Nothobranchius furzeri: one gene and its partner. The protein of the gene in region 2 purifies or fractionates together with the protein of the main gene of each other region. This does not show direct contact. Links are inferred from orthologs where the notes say so. Each region holds a gene or a part of one and is shown on either strand. Other genes may lie near its edges.

Region 1 (7,866 bases), on a different chromosome or scaffold from region 2:
TGAGCTCAGCCTTGAGAGAAAGGGGATCTGAGGCTGTGACTTCATCAGCAGGAAGTGAGTGAGTCGTTTTAAAAGCCACCAGCTGACCCCGACCCAGAGGCCACACACACAGACAAGTGCACATTTTCGGTTAGTGCGAACACTTGTGGAGTCAGAGAGGGGAACTCACATGTGATAACACGGCACTGCCCTGGAGAGAAGGTGAGAAAAACAAAGAAACACTCAACAAGTTTCAAACAATTGTGACATCACTGGAGCGGCGACGTGGCGCTAACCGACAGCTTATAATGAAAATTTCTATGTAGGTTATCATGTCACATCTTGAGAAAACAACCCACACATTAGAGTAGTAGCACACACGCACGCGCACACACACGCGCACGCACACACACACACACACACACACACACGCACACACACACACACACGCACACACACACACACACACACACACACACACGCACACACGCGCACACACACACACACACACACTTTGCTTTACTAGGAAATGCAGCACGTCTGGGCCTGAAACAGGAATGTTCCAACACACACACACACAACACACACACACACACACACGATGGAGCATTTCCACTCTCGAGTTGTGTTTTACTAACCTGGTCCTTTTTAGACTTGGATGAAGCAACGTGTGCAAGATACTGAATGACTTTCTTTGTGTTCTCCGTTTTGCCGGCTCCAGACTCCCCACTGCGGGGATTAAATCATAAAAATATGTTAAAAACCATGTCCAAAACAGAAAAGTAAAAAATCTTGATCATAAATATCTTCCTGGATGGAATTTGGAGAAATGGCTAACGGCTAGTCCTAGCATAGCTACGCTAACATGAACTGCTACCTTCTTAAAACACACCAAAAAAATCTTTCACAGTACCTCATGAAAACTGTTTAAAGGCACAAGTACACCAGTCTTGGCTGTTCTTAGACTAGCCGTTAGCTTATCAGTCCCATAGAACGTATTCTCTAGTTCACCAAGCGGAGGCTGTTCGTGAAGCTTTTGACAAGAGCTGAGAAGATAATTTACGAGACTTACGTGCAAAGGATGGACTGATCCTCCCGATCTGTTAGAGAGAGAAGTTTCGGTTCATGAAAGATGAAGATGTGCTAAAGTTCAGTCGTTAGCTAACGGTAACATCATGTATAACGGGCGCGGTTTACGCCGTCTCACCCTGCATCATGCTCCTGTAGGCCGTGTCTGTGATGGCGTAGATGTGGGGGGGCATCTCATGTCTCTTCTTGCCCTTGTACATGTTGACTATCTCCTCGTTGTAGATGGGCAGGTTCTTGTAGGGGTTGATCACCACACAGAACAGACCGGAGTACGTCTGGATCACAGCGGGATGGCAACGTTAGAGAGAACCTCTGAATCCGGTGAGCAGCAACGGATCGGAACACTCACGTAGATGAGTCCCGAGTAGTATCGCTCCTTCAGGTTGTGCAGCACGGAGGCTTCGTTCAGGCAGGTGAGCTCTGCCATGTCCTCCACCTTGCTGAATTTGGGAGGATTCATTTTCTGGATATCATCTTTGTTGACCTTCACCTAAGATTTAAATAACCAAGCAGGAGGTTTGCCATTTGCCGCAGACAAGACTCCAGAAACACAAATTGAGGTTTGATCCTCACCTTCTTGCCAGAGTCCGACAGCTCCACCACACACTCGTCTCCCTGCTCCTCCTTCAGCGAGCCGGCTTCGTAGCCCACCTTCTCACTGGGAACCCACACCAGCTTCTTGGAGGCCCAGTCGGCCTGAGCCAGGGGGTTGTTGACCTCGCTGCGGTCCCCATACAGGAACTTGTCTGCATCAGTCATGGTGGCTGCAGGACGCAAAACAGAGTTTAATCAGATGAGTCAAGACAAAAGAAAATAGACTAGTAGTTAGCTCATCAGTCCCAAAAAGAAACTCCATTTCTCTAAACAAAGGCTGTTCAGGAAGCTACACAACAGGTAGGATCATTATTTATAAATTTTACACGTGAACACCACAAAAATCACCATTTCTATTTAATTCAGGCAGTTTTAGATTCTCAAAAGAAGATTTGATTGTAAAATCTACTCGATGCTCCACCCGGCGTCTGACGCTCAGGAATTTGCCACCAGGTTTCTGTGTGTGTGATTAGATCAAATTGCTTCATATCTCAAATCTAAAATTACCAGAACTTTGCAGTTTCCTGAAAATAAATCCCTAAATGTTGATGAGTCAGAGGGACTGAACAAAAACATTCGTGCTCAGGCAGGAACCAGGGCTGCTTGGCGATGCGGTCAGACTGGGGTTTTAATTCAAATCGGCATCTAGATGAAGATTTCTGCTACAGGAGAGCGTGGGAGGAGACCGCATCAAAGATATGATCATAACGCAGACATTCTGCAACCACTAATGACTTTTCGGACGAGCTAAGCGTTTAGGGTCTCAGAAACAACGTGGCTGTGGCCGAGACTCTGGGCGCAGATGGCCTTAGCTCTGGGTCTATTCTGACTCACCAATAATCAGACGTGTTCGGCTTTATCCGTCGTTTTCCTGTTAGCCGAGTGTTTTTGTTACATTAGAGAGGCTGTTGCCTGTTGAAACAGAGGATTAATCATATTTAGCACAGCTGAAGAGCTTCGGTGTATCTATACTGGGAGCTGTTATTACTGCAGACTCAAATCACCCTGAGGTGTCAAGTTTATATAATGACTTTGAGCTCCTCGTGTACACACAGAGCTGAGGCGTGTGCACTCCGATCCACAAACACGGGAGGCACGGGACAGGTTTGGACACATCTTCTAAAACAGCTGTTTGAAGTTTTCCACTGAATCCTTCTGAGTGAACACGGAGCATCTTTTATCCAAAGCTGGTTGGAATGAGACAACACTCCACACAGATGACGCTCCACAGCTAAGGTCCATTAAATTACTCTTTTTAAGTCTTCAACACGACTCTTCTTCCTCTCCATTTCCACGACATTCCTTCTTCACCTTCTCATTATAGAGAATTCCACAAATTCCCAACCCCTCATCGTCATCTTCAACCATCCGTTCACTTTTCAAACTTCCAGAGCTAATGAGCAGCCTTTGTGTCCTGCTCCGTGTTCCTGGCGTTTGCTGTTCAAACTGTAAGAAGGTTCTGATGGAGACCCTTGGATTGGTGCTTTGGAGGTGGAGGAATGTTGGAGCAGGTCTGGGCACATGCCATATCCAGACCACACCCTTACAACCCCTCCAGCCCCACATCAGATAAAATTCTATGTTCTGGACGGTCAGCTGGGTCCTTGGAGAACAAATATTTATTCAGATGAGCTACTTCCACGTATGGATGATGAAAGAGTGTGTGTCTGTGTGTGTTTATAGAGTGAGGGATAAAGGGATCAGTGCACAGGGTGTCATCTGTGTCTCCCTTAAGTTCATTATGAGCTCAGACTCTTGGAGATCAGAGGGAGAGGACTGACATCCTGCAGCGTCCAGATCACCAGCACCGACCCAGAAACGCTTCATCTGTGTGAGAACTTGTGATGCTTCATGAGGGTTTGTGGTTTTGCTGCTGCTGAACTAACTTCTGCAGGAAGTTACACAAACTCTCCCGCAGCTCTTTGAAACGACTAAAGGAGCTGCTGCAGTCTGCTAAGGGTGTGTGCACGGTCTGCACCGCTAATCCTTTGTGCTCCTTGGCACGTTTTCTGCAGCATCACCACTGAACTGATCTCGGCTGTTTGCCAATCTGCTTCTTATCCTGGCACACGCTCGCCCGCACGCACACACACACACACACACACACACACACACACAAGACTGGTGTGAGGTCCTCTTGTCCCTGCAGACTATAATGAAGCAGGTCTTGTTTGTGATGATGAACCTAAAGAGGAAGACTCATTTCACAGAAGTCAGGCTCGGCCTGAACCCGGCCTGGCTGAGGAAGTCCGTCACTGATTGTAGATAACTGAAGCCACAGACCAGCCCTGCTTGCTGTCTGAGCACCAGAACCAGAACTGGGCTCCGCTCATTTCAGGACTAAACTGATGCTCATCCCATAATCTACACATGCCTGTAGTAACCAGAAACCAGCATCTTCTGGTGTCACTTTAGGTGTTAAGTGAAATAAATTCTTTCATCTCAAGTTTGCACCAAATTTAGCTGAAACGGTTAAAAAAAGGGTTGTTGGCTCTAAACATCCTCTGACCAGAACACCTGGAGCAGGTGAGCTGCAGAAATCCCCATATTTAAATGTCCCTCCTGCAGGAGAAGAAACCCACTCACCTGGATCTCAGCAGCTGAGTTCTTCCTGGTTCCGTCTCTGCTCTCGGTTCCGGCTGACGTCTCGATCGGTGTCCCCTAGAGCCAAGAGAGCCCGTCTAACTGTTCGGAGCCCGACTTTAGCCCGGATGGACTCCGCGCGCCGCTCAGCTGCTCACTTTTTATCACTTCTCAGGTGAGCTCGTGGCCACGCCCACCTGTCGGCGGCTGCGCGCGCTGCTTTCAATGGCATCACGGAGCACGGAAGGGATTTCTGCACAGGGGTGCTTTTAACTCTCACTTTTAACTTACTTTTAGACGCGTTGGTGAATGTAATAAATCACAAAACACGGAAACAAATTACGTGTTGCCAGATAAATGCAGCTGAATGATTACCTCCAGTGTATAAACACACCTCTATGCACCGAAACACACACCGAATATTCAAATGAGACAGAAAGGGGAATAAAAAACCAGCGAGCCCGTTTTTCCGGTTCCCAATGGGCTTCAAAAACGTGGTTTCGTTTTATCAAAAATGCTTAATTTAATTTATGGTGATTTGTGACATTCGTACTGCGCAAAAATTCCTCAAAAAAGTTTTTTTTTTTAACGGGCATACATTTAAAAAGTCAGTCCCAGTATTTAAAACTCTTAACCTTTCTGATGGAGTCCACATAGAAACATCTGCAACAGCTGGAAGCTCTGACACCGTTCTGTTTATGGGGTTCTAACTAGTCCATCAATTCCAAATATCAAAATCAGGGGCGGTTCTAGGCCAAATTTTCCAGGGGGGCCACAGTGGGGCCAGTATTTTTTCATGGGGGCGCAAGAAAAAAAAGGGGAAAATTAGGGCAATATCAAAATTCTTTTTTGTCGTCGCCATATGACTAATTTTGTGCTTGTACACAATTTTGCCAAAGGAAATTCATTGATGTCAGGAAAATAAACTGTATTGCTTGCCTTCGTCTCTCAGCGTCTTTTCCGTTAGTTGTCCTCAAGAATTTCTTTGGGTCCCATTTAAACTATTCTTAATCTTTTATTCAAAAATCCACCGGGTAAACAGTTCTGTCCACAGAGTGTGCTGCACTCTAAAGGCTCCGTGTGAAACGCTGCAGCGCATTAGTTCCCGTCTCCGAGGCAGCGCGGGGGGAAAAATCCGATCTCTTCAGCACAGGGGCCATAACAGGGGCCAGGGCCAGTTCTATAGGGGCCCAGGCCCCTGTTTAAAACCGCCAATGATCAAAATAAAAGACTCGGGTTAGCTTTTTTCGCAATGAAAGATTTCTGCAGAAGAGCTAATCCTCTACATAATCTCCTACTGCTCCACCTCAATGTTCCCGATCGTTGTTCTACAAAAAGATCCATTTCAGACTCATCTGTCCCAGTTTGCTTGTCTGTTAGCTGAATCTCTGCTGAAACTGAGATAACATGGCTGCCGCACAAACAGCACTACCTCAGAGCTAAATATTCACATTAGCAGCTGAGAGTCGTGCACAACAGATGGTGTGAGTGCTAGTTGTTTAAGATCTTGGTATGTAGGATCGTGCCATCTTCAAGGTTGGACCAAATGGATGCAAGTCCATCTGTAGGAGCCATATGGGTCTTTCATTTTCTTTCTGCATACATGAGAGGAGGCTTGGCCTCATTTGATTGGTCAAATTGATTGTGGAAGCACCAGCCTACTTAAGCCAACACAGATTAGACTCTGGTGTTGCTGTGATGGCACAAACAGTTTTTTATTGTGTGGCGAGGACTGCGGCTGGGTGTAAAGGACCCTGCGGACTGTCATTGGGGCAAGTAACGCATTCACTGTAAACCACTTTAACTGCTGTGAAAGGATCGTGGACATTTGTGGAACAAGACGAAATAATGAACATCATCGGAAATAAACACAAGCTGCAATTCTTTTAAACACACGTAAAGACCACCACCCGCATCAGTAGCCAGTAGCGCCAGTGTATAGGGCATTGGTATTACACCATCACTTTTGAGGATCTCTGTCTAAGGCCCTGTCCACACGTAGCCGGGGATCTGCCAAAACATAGATATTTTTCTTTCACACGAAAACGGATCTTTTTAAAAACTCCGGCCAAAGTGAAGATCTGCGTTTTCTCCGTTTTGGGTGTCTGCGTGTGGACAGACAAAACCGGAGTTTTAAGGTCCGCAACGTCACTTTCCACGACAAAAAAATGCTGACATCACGTGTGCGACCTGTGTTTACACTAGCCGACAGCATGGATGCCCTCAGAGCTGCGCTCGCTTTATCAATTGTCCAAGCGCTTTTTGCTTGTTTGTTTTTGCAAGCGGAATTACTGCTCCTTGCGGAAGACCACAGACGAAGGACGAGGTTAAGAACGGGGGAAGTACTGCCCCCTACAGGTCTGGCATGTCCTTAACAACGTATTTATCCGGGTACGTGTGGACAGAGTTTTTTTTAAAACGAGGTGGTGTGGATGCAAGTTTTTGGAGGGACGGATGTTCGTTTTTTTTTTTAAACGGCTACGTGTGGACTAGGCCTAAATCTCTGACATGTGAGGTCCTGCAAGGAATGTCGAGACTTTCTTGACAGTGTAGGTTCTGTCACTCTCTAAAAAGTGTTAAAGCTGGATCATTTGTCTAAAAGTGATTTAAATGGGACTAGAGATTTGTCTGGAGTTAATGTGAGGTTTTTATGCTAAAGTTGCCCTCTGCAAAAATACAACACACCTCAGACACACACAACCACAAAGCTGGGAGGCTAATGTGATGTTAAAGAGCCAGTAGATGTGTGTTAAATTTGCAGGAATGAAGAATTTCCTCACCATCTTGCTAAAGAGAAGCCGGGGCGTGGCAGTGCTGTTGCTGCTGCTGTGTGGAAACATGAAACAAAACTCCTACCAGGCCACGCGGAGGACACAAACACAGGCCAACACCTCAGACCGTGTCCTTAAACCTCTCACCTTCACGTTTATGTGGCTTTAATCACAACCTCCCGTCAGCATCAAACAACACAAGGTCCCAGGTATGATGATTCACTCCAAACAAGGTAATACCTGCACCCGGTCTCCCATCCACCAATGAGCTCTTGCTTTAACTTCCTACCATATATGGTCAAAGGGAGCAGAAAGAAAGAGATGAAGATCTCCGAAAAGAGAAAAGCTTGCAGAGGGAGAGAGGTGGAGGAAGGTGGGTCTATTGTTATTGGTCTATTTGTCTGTGGTGTTGGATGTCTGTACCAGTCCTGTCATCAGCTCCAGTCCCAGTCCCTCCTGTGGGTCACACATCAAAGATGTTCAGATAGACAGCATGTCGCTACATGAATCAGAAAGTAACACACTCACCATCACCATGCTGTTTTCAGTAAAACATGAGCAACATGAAACTCAACAGTTTTAAAGGTCCAGTACAACTGCCTGATAGAAACAATCAAAATAAACGACTTCAGGTTTTAACGTTTCCTTTTGGATCAAAAAGTTAAATCCCATCTGAAGACAAATATGAGCGTCTGAAACGCAAGAGGCTCTGGATCAAACATCCCATGGGCTGATTTTTCACCGCCACAGGGCGCGTGCTCTTGAGTCACAAAGTCTTCATGAAGCCACAAGTGAAAGGGTCTTCAGCCGGAGGCTCGGCTGTGTCCAAATCTGCACGGATTCTTGTTGT
Region 2 (8,040 bases):
CACAAAATCAATAATGCCTTTTGTGGTCCGAAGCCAAGCTGCAAGAGGCCATGAACACTAATTGTTCCTGACGTAGAAGAGACTGGCTTTTTCTGACACAGACCCTTTTCCATCTATTTTCAGTTAATGCAGCCATATGAGTTGAAGAAAATGGTCACATTTAGCATGCATGCGAAACTCCTAATGACCAATCATATCTGAAAAAATATTACATGAATCCACAGTGAACATGACCTTTTTTTCATGAAAACCTTTTACTTAAGGAACTGTATGATTTTCTATGAAAAAAATCACTATATGGAACAGGATCCATTTTGGTGGCTAAGGATCAGGTCTCTGCTTTTTGCAGATTATGTGGTCATGTTGGCTTCATCAGACTGTGATCTCCAGCTCTCGCTGCAGCAGTTTGCAGCCGAGTGTGAAGCAGCTAACAACTGCGATGACAATCAGCTCCTCTAAATCTGAGACCATGGTCTTGAGTCTGAAAAGGGTAGAATGCCTTCTACAGGTCAGGGACGAGGTCCTGCCTCAGTTGGAGGAGTAACATTCCTGCCATTACAGCCCAAGAGGCTTTAGAAAAAGAATAACCGAATTTGAATAAAAGCTATCGTACCATTTGGACTTGAGGCATGGTTGAGGTAATCCTTTTAAAGTAAACACTCTGAAGTTTTCCCCACAACAGTGAAAATGTATGTAAGTGATAATGTCAGAGTATTATGGGCTTTAATGTCCAGAAAAATATTAATTTTTATTGTCGATAATTTTTTTTTTAAATACACACTTTAAAAATAACATCAGTAATGAGATATCTACTGGAAAACATTGTGTGTCAATAGTCTGAAATCTTTCCTCGTCACACACCAAATTTTACAGTAATAAACCTAAAAATGAGTATTTGGCAGATATTTTTATAAGATGAGGTCCAGGCGTTTCAAACGAGAGGATTGGAGAGCTGAGTCGAAAGTTCTTAATTTACCGGTCAGTCCATATTCCAACCTGGGCTTCTCTGCTTAGGCTGCTGGTCCAGTGGCCCGACCTCTGATAAGTAGATGAAAATGGATGGATGGTATTTTTTGGCTTTAGGGCTGGGCAATATGGCCTCAAATAAATATCACAATATATTTAGGATTTCACCTCAATAATGATAAATAAACGATAACTACATGTAAGCGCAGAAATAAAAAGTTGTCCACTAGATGGGGCTGTCACGTGTGTTAAGTTGAACGTCGCCAAACTACACACATCTTTTCATTTTTATTATTATCACATTTATTGACATGGGAAAAGGAAATTGGTTAGATTCTGAAATTTTGATAGTGATACATTTTCGATTTATTGCTCAGCCCCATTTGTCTTCATTATTAACTGATATGCTGACAATCCTTATGATAGTGCGTCTGATCTTTAAGAGCACTAAAATGGTCTGAACATTGTTCATCAAGTCTAAAGCAAAAAATGACCAAATTGTATCTAAAGAAAGTCACAATAGCCCAATTTTAAATTTGTTATTACGACAGCAATGAAAAGAAGCCAAAACCAAACACACATATCTCATGAATGGTTTCTACTAGGGATTTGTATTGGTGAAATTCTGGCAATACGATACGTATCACGATACAGGAGAGACAATACACTATATCGCGATATATTTGCGATACATTCAGTCAGACGATATTGGCGATTTTTTTCGACTGAATCTATTAAAGGAAAATTCAACAGACCAAACTGATACTTAACATGTTTCAAATTAGGTATCTGAAAAATGACAGAGGGATTTACCCCCAAATTCCACTACCTCCGCTCCGCTCCGCTGCGCTCCGACACGAACGCCGGAGCAAAATCGGTCCCGTTTTAGTCAATCAGAGCAATTCCACTACTGCGGCCGTGCTCCGGCAGTGCGGCGCCGTCCTCTGTTCCGGCAAAAAAAGAATCGATCCTATTTTCGCCGGACGCCGGAGCACCTCCGCAGTAAATGGACAGAAATCACAACCGTCCAACAGGAAAAGGAGCGGGCACAACTTCCGTTTTTCACAATACATCGATAAACAAAAGGCGTTTTTTCTTTCATATGCACAAGTTTAACAACTTTTAACAACTATCAGTGGCGGCTGAAGTTTAAATGCACAAAAGTAAGCCATAAATACAGTTTCCACTATCAAAGTAGTCACACTTTGTTGATCCAAACACTGCTGATCTCTCAACACAAATGATAGGCAGATTAAACAGTTCATGTCGATGCTTCTCCCACACAACGGGTGTTTGGATCTAACTTCCGCGTTTATTGCTCGGACTGTATCGCAAGATCTCGAAAATCCCGCGCATGCTTATTTGCCCACCTCAGGTCTCCGCACCGGAGCGGAGCCGTTGTAGAGCGGGTAGCAGTAAAAATTGAGTTCGGAAGCGAGCGGCAGCGGAGGGCGGGGGCGGACCGGAGCGGAGGTAGTGGAATTTGGGGGTTACAAGTCAACGGAGGAAACAAAGCCCATTGCACACTGCTGCCAACCAGCAGTCGGTGATTGAACTGCACCAAAAGAAAAGAAAATACACAAATGTACTGAATGTAAGAATGTAAATTCTTCCAAAAAATTGATACAAAGCTTTTGAATATCGATATATCGCTGTAAAATAATATCACCATATATTGAATATCGATATATCGCTGTAAAATAATATCACCATATATTGCCATATTAATATTTTCTTACATCCCTAGTTTCTACGTTGATTTACCAGACAGACCTGTTGAAAGAAAAATACAGCTAATAGTACAAATATGTTTTACAATAAGCTTTACATTGTGACAACAGGAATCCTCATACAGTCAACTCGTTTACTGGCAAATACCCCTTGACAATACTGTTTTTCATTTTGGACACACTAACAGGAAGCTCTTAAACACTCATGCATGTATATGATGCACAACAAGTGTTAGGTTTGGGACTGGAGTGCATTTTCTTCTTTGTGTGTCATAATCCATTAAGTGGTTTCCAGAACCGAGACCCAATAGTGAGCCTCAGGCCTAAACACTGCTCACACACATCCTGATCACATCACAGCCCGAAGCACCATCCACATTCCATAACACGTTCACTTTTTCCCCTTTCACACACCTAAACGAGCAAAAAGGTGGAACATGGGTGCAGCTGCTGTGAATTGTGTCAAGGTATTGAAATGTAAGCTATTACTTCAAATAAGTAGAGATTTGCTTTTTTAAATGAAGACATTAAACATTAAATTAGTAGTATCTGGAAACTGTAGTACAAAATTGCTATTTTTTTCTAACTATAGTGTTTAAATTGGGGAGAATTGTGCAGGTGGTGGATAAGAGTAATTTAGGATGCTATAAAATTGTCGCAGATGCCGTAAATGAGAGCTAAAAGGTGCCAGACTTTCTAGCCAGAGGGCATTGGCATCTGCGATCAGCTTGTCATCATGAAGAGGGCTCGTTTAGCTTAGGTCTATCTAGGAGCTGGTCAATTTCGCATGAGTCAACGATGGGCGCACCTTCCATTTGCGTAATAAACCAGCCCCATCGCTTTAACTCCGTTATGCATAGGATTGGTGCTGTGTAGTAATGCTCTGCGATCCAATCTAAAGTCAGTTATACAATAATTAGACCGGATTTTGCAGTAATTGGAGAAGGCATGGTTTCTGAACTGGGCCGGTGCCAACACTCGCCCCCCAAGCCCCGTGGCGGCCCTGCCCTGCTCCGGCGCGGCCTACTAGGCTGACCGGCTCCGGAGCGGTACGTCAGAGTGCAGCGGTGAGCGGCACAGGGGCGGTGTGAGCATATTTCTGTCAGGTCCAACCTTTTATGAGAGGGTTGTTAGCGGGGTGCGTGTTGTCCAGACTGACTAGGCCTGGTACGTGCTGAGAAAAGTCACTGTAGAATCAGAGGTGTACTCACGGCTGACTTTCATGCTGCCGAAAGCAGAGGGCTGCGGCACTGGTTTGCAGCTTTCGGCGAAAGATGTGGTCCTGGGCCGACCCGACATGATCCAATCCCTTTGATTCTCTCGACTGGGAGGCTTTGACTAAACGGAAGAGCTGATCGATTCACCGATCCTTCTCATCCAAAAAAGGATTGACAGTAAATGAATATGTATCTGTGATCCACAGGAAGGGCAGGCAGAAAGAGACCCCCTTTTTATCCTACGGTACCTTGCGTTACTTTTTGTTCTTTTAAAAATCAATTCGTTTGAAACAGTCCTTTCTTTCCCAACAACGGTCAATCAGAAAATATTTCCTTCTTAAACTCCAGGATTTATTTCAACGGGCCTCAGAAGACTCTCCGTCTAAAATAGTCATGAATCTGGCCTCTCCCTGTGGCCCCTGCTAAAAAAACGATTATTTTCCGTATGAATTCCACAATTATGAAGGAGGGTTGGCTCGGATGTTAATCCAACGTGGACCAAAGACAAACGTGTCGTTTTCTCGACGACTCAGGACACATGCAGTTCCTCTTCATATCCCGATGTGGAGGCTCAATGACCCGACTGCCATGGCGGCTCCCGCTATACCCAAGCCTACAGACCGTCCAACGGAAAAATTGCCAGTCGTCACAGTCCTCTTTAACGAATTAACGACTTCAAACCAACACTGAATCCGGTTTCGTCGTCGTCAAATTTCGGCGTCACAACCGAGGCTCTGGGGCGGCTAGCTTCTCGAAAAATAACGGTCTCAAGGTACAGAGTGCGACGATACCGAATGTCTTTTTTTATTTCTTCCCCATAGGTTTCGGGCTCGCAGTCTTTGTCGCTGCGCATGTAACGTACGCTGTTTCTGTAAAGGGTTTCCAAGCTAGCTCCACCATCACCGTAAGAAGTTCACGCTATTTACGTAACTCGTGACCGAGAATTTAAAAAAACGTGAACGCGCTTACGCTAAAACTGGGGCGGCATGGTCAACCAATCAGAGATGGGATCCTTCAGAAAAAGGCGTTTCCCCGGCGCAGTGGACCAATAGAAACGCAGGTGTTGAGCACCACATGGCATTATTTGTTCAGCTCCGCCCTCATGACTTCAAAGACTTTTCCATGCCTTGAAGGGGGGTAAGGGGCGGAGCAACCACCGGGATTGATGGCTTTTTCGACCAATGGAGCTAAAAAAAAAACCGGCTGTCAGTTCAAAATGCCCCAGCTGTCACAGAGCACCGGTGGTCATGCAGCACTGTTGCTATGTTAGTTACAAAAGCCTACCCCCCTTGCCTTTCATGGACACGTTTTTTTTCTCTTTCCCACGCGACCCTCGGGCAAATCAAGTAAATTTATTGCTCAGTTTTTCCAATTTTAGTTGTAAGTTTCCCTTCAGTATAACTTTTTAGAGAGGTTCTGCATGAAAATTGTCCAAGCTATAGTTTAAGTCTTAAAATATGAAGTGCTTATAAGTTTTTAACGTATGCAGTCAAATGAGCCAAATAATTAGATTTTTGGCAAATACTGAATTGATATTTGTAACTGATATGATATGTAAAGTATTTATAAAGCTGCGGTAGGTTAAAAGGGATTACACGTATCTCTCGTGACCCTGAACTACAGGAGGTCCGTGCAGCTTCAGTATCACAATCATCAGTGCATGCCTCCGTTATATGTCAAAAGGAAAAGTTCAGCTGTGTGGTGGAAGATCCCACATTAGACTCTGGGATACTTTGACATTTTTAAAGACAACCTCACGTCTGGCTGCTACTGTGCCATGATCTTTTGGTTGCAAGAAAACTCCAAACATCACACCCCCTCTACTGTGCATGAAAGTTGGTATGAGGCCTTTAGAGAGAAAGATGGCACAGTCAAATATGTGATTTGTTAATGACCATATAAATTCATCAGGATTAGTTCTGTAATGGAAAACCAGTTTTTGTTTCTCAGAGTGAAACTATTACTCATCCCAAACAGAGTGAAAGTCTCTTACCTCAAGATGAAGTCTTCCCTTTTTCTCAGTAAACAGTGGGCTGGCACCAGTCTGTCTTTTGTGTGATCTATTTATACTCTGTTGTGTTGCACATCAAAAGGAATTTCTCCGAGGCTGTCCTTCAATGGTTCACATGCAGAATAAACCTCAGCAGCATTTTAAAACAGGCTGCTGAGTTGAAGTAACGCAAGACACAGATTTCCCTTCGGCAACACCTCCCCCAGCCAAAGCATATTCTCCCACAAGCATAAAGATAAAACACAGAAAGGCAAAAGATGGCTGTGGGCGAGAGGATCAGTCTGGGCTAGAAGAAATGAAGAAATAAATATAAAAGAAACATTTTAAAAATCTGTCCTCACTACACTGTTTACCAGTAAACTACAGAATTCACTGGAAAGTGCTTCTACTAGTTTATAAATCACTCAATGGCATGGGGCCAAAATACATGTCAGATCTCCTCCCATACGCCTGGCAGGGCTCTGAGATCAGCTTGTAGAACTTCGGGTCAGAACCAAATAGGGCAAAGCTGTGTTCAGCTACTTTGCTGCACACAGATGGAATCGGATTCCTCATAACCTCAAATGTTCCCCAACTCTTGTAACTTTTTAATCAAAGTTGAAAACCTTTGTGTATTCATCAGCATTTGAATGCACCTTCTGCCCTGGAACTGCTCACCCTTTAACTTTGTCTTTTTGAATTCTTGAATCTGAAATTAAATTGTGTTTTTTTAATTGTGCTGTCGCATTGATTTTAATGTTCATGCTATTGCTGCTAATGGAAAGCACATTTAATTGCCTCTGTGTATGAAAGCTGCCTTGCCTCGCATCACAAACTGTTCTGCCCATGAATTGCAGTACAAAACTACGGGATTGTATCAGATCTGATTGATAGAACATTTTCTCTTTTGAAAAATAATCATAATTATATTATTTTAGCATGAAACACACAATTTAATAGAAAAATGTCGAAGTGGGAACTTGAAGTCACTGAGGTTTGATCTACCGGCATTCTTTATCACAACCAGCAGGGGGCGACATAATAGCTACAACAAGAAAAAGAAAACACAAATACCAACCTCCTCTTGCCTGCAAAGCCATCCTATATATGTGAATATATAAACAACTTTTGCAAAGCAAGAATTTGGTCTAATTCATTAGGCTAATCATTCTAACTAGATTTATCACCTTGGTAAATCCTTACTAATGAGTTTATTGTTGTAATAAAACCATTCAGACATTTTTTTAATGCAAAATGTATTTTCTAGTCAAAATTGAGGTCATTTATGATAAATTATCCAAGAAAACATGGTATGACCATGTATTTCTATATTTTTCTGTCAGGATATACTTGCTATCTGAAAATGCATGTTGGTGTATTTAATTTTTATCTCAAAAGAGCTCTGAGAAGATAATTTTGCATTATAGCAGCTCAGAGAAGCTTTAGTAGTTTGCTGTCAAACTGTGTTTTGTGTCTGCAGACAAAACAGGCTTTAATCCATATTATTATCAACACTTCCTGTGTGAATTTATATTGAAAATGTGTTGAGTTATTAAACTGAAGCCAGTGCACTCTGTCCTGTGGCCAGCAGGGGGCAACCTCTGATTATAAAACAGAGAAAATATAATTAAAAATAAAACTGGCGTAATACCAAAAATCATTTATGTTTACATTTCCCTTATTCAGACCTATATCTCACTCACGTTTATACATTCCATGGTGCAAACTCTTTCAGACATGAGATGACTTGCAGTGTTTGTCCTGAGGATGTTTATATTTAATATCACCATTGCATTTTCTTTAACTTGTCCCTTTCTGCATCCCCACCTCCTGCTCGCCGTATGGTTGGTTATCGTTTTCTTAATGAGAGCACAGCTAGACATTTTTCTGCTGCTTTTGATCCACCCTGTTCTTCTGATAACGACCCAGATTCCTTAACTTCTCAGCTTAACCAGCACTGCCTCTCCATTCTGGACAACATCTGTCCTGTCAGAACCAGATAAGTTCCTGCAGTGAACCACGTCCATCTGCTGCACCTAAAGGATCTTCTGACATCCTTTAACTCTGCAGTCAGAGATGCTAGGGTTTCCTATTTCTCCAACCTGGTGTCCCAGAGCAAAGGGAACCCCAAGGTGCT

What was found. Proteins that work in one complex are often made in the same cells at the same time.
Region 1: the proteins of gsk3ba (region 2) and myosin-9 purify together in Homo sapiens (affinity purification with western blotting; 4 studies listed by BioGRID, with this or other methods). This does not show direct contact. The link is inferred for Nothobranchius furzeri from reciprocal best matches to the Homo sapiens genes GSK3B and MYH9.

Annotation. Positions count from the first base shown.
Region 1 is NC_091747.1:73,543,404-73,551,269, reverse strand, and holds the start of myosin-9, read right to left. Parts: upstream 4,383-7,866; 5' UTR 4,249-4,382; intron 1,833-4,248; 5' UTR 1,828-1,832; coding exon 1,642-1,827; intron 1,559-1,641; coding exon 1,418-1,558; intron 1,344-1,417; coding exon 1,187-1,343; intron 1,080-1,186; coding exon 1,052-1,079; intron 709-1,051; coding exon 618-708; intron 191-617; coding exon 170-190; intron 1-169. UniProt on the Homo sapiens protein: Cellular myosin that appears to play a role in cytokinesis, cell shape, and specialized functions such as secretion and capping. Required for cortical actin clearance prior to oocyte exocytosis. Promotes cell motility in conjunction with S100A4.
Region 2 is NC_091754.1:24,450,006-24,458,045, reverse strand, and holds the start of gsk3ba (glycogen synthase kinase-3 beta), read right to left. Parts: upstream 4,803-8,040; 5' UTR 3,996-4,802; coding exon 3,908-3,995; intron 3,164-3,907; exon of another isoform or gene 2,458-3,163; intron 1-2,457. UniProt on the Homo sapiens protein: Constitutively active protein kinase that acts as a negative regulator in the hormonal control of glucose homeostasis, Wnt signaling and regulation of transcription factors and microtubules, by phosphorylating and inactivating glycogen synthase (GYS1 or GYS2), EIF2B, CTNNB1/beta-catenin, APC, AXIN1, DPYSL2/CRMP2, JUN, NFATC1/NFATC, MAPT/TAU and MACF1.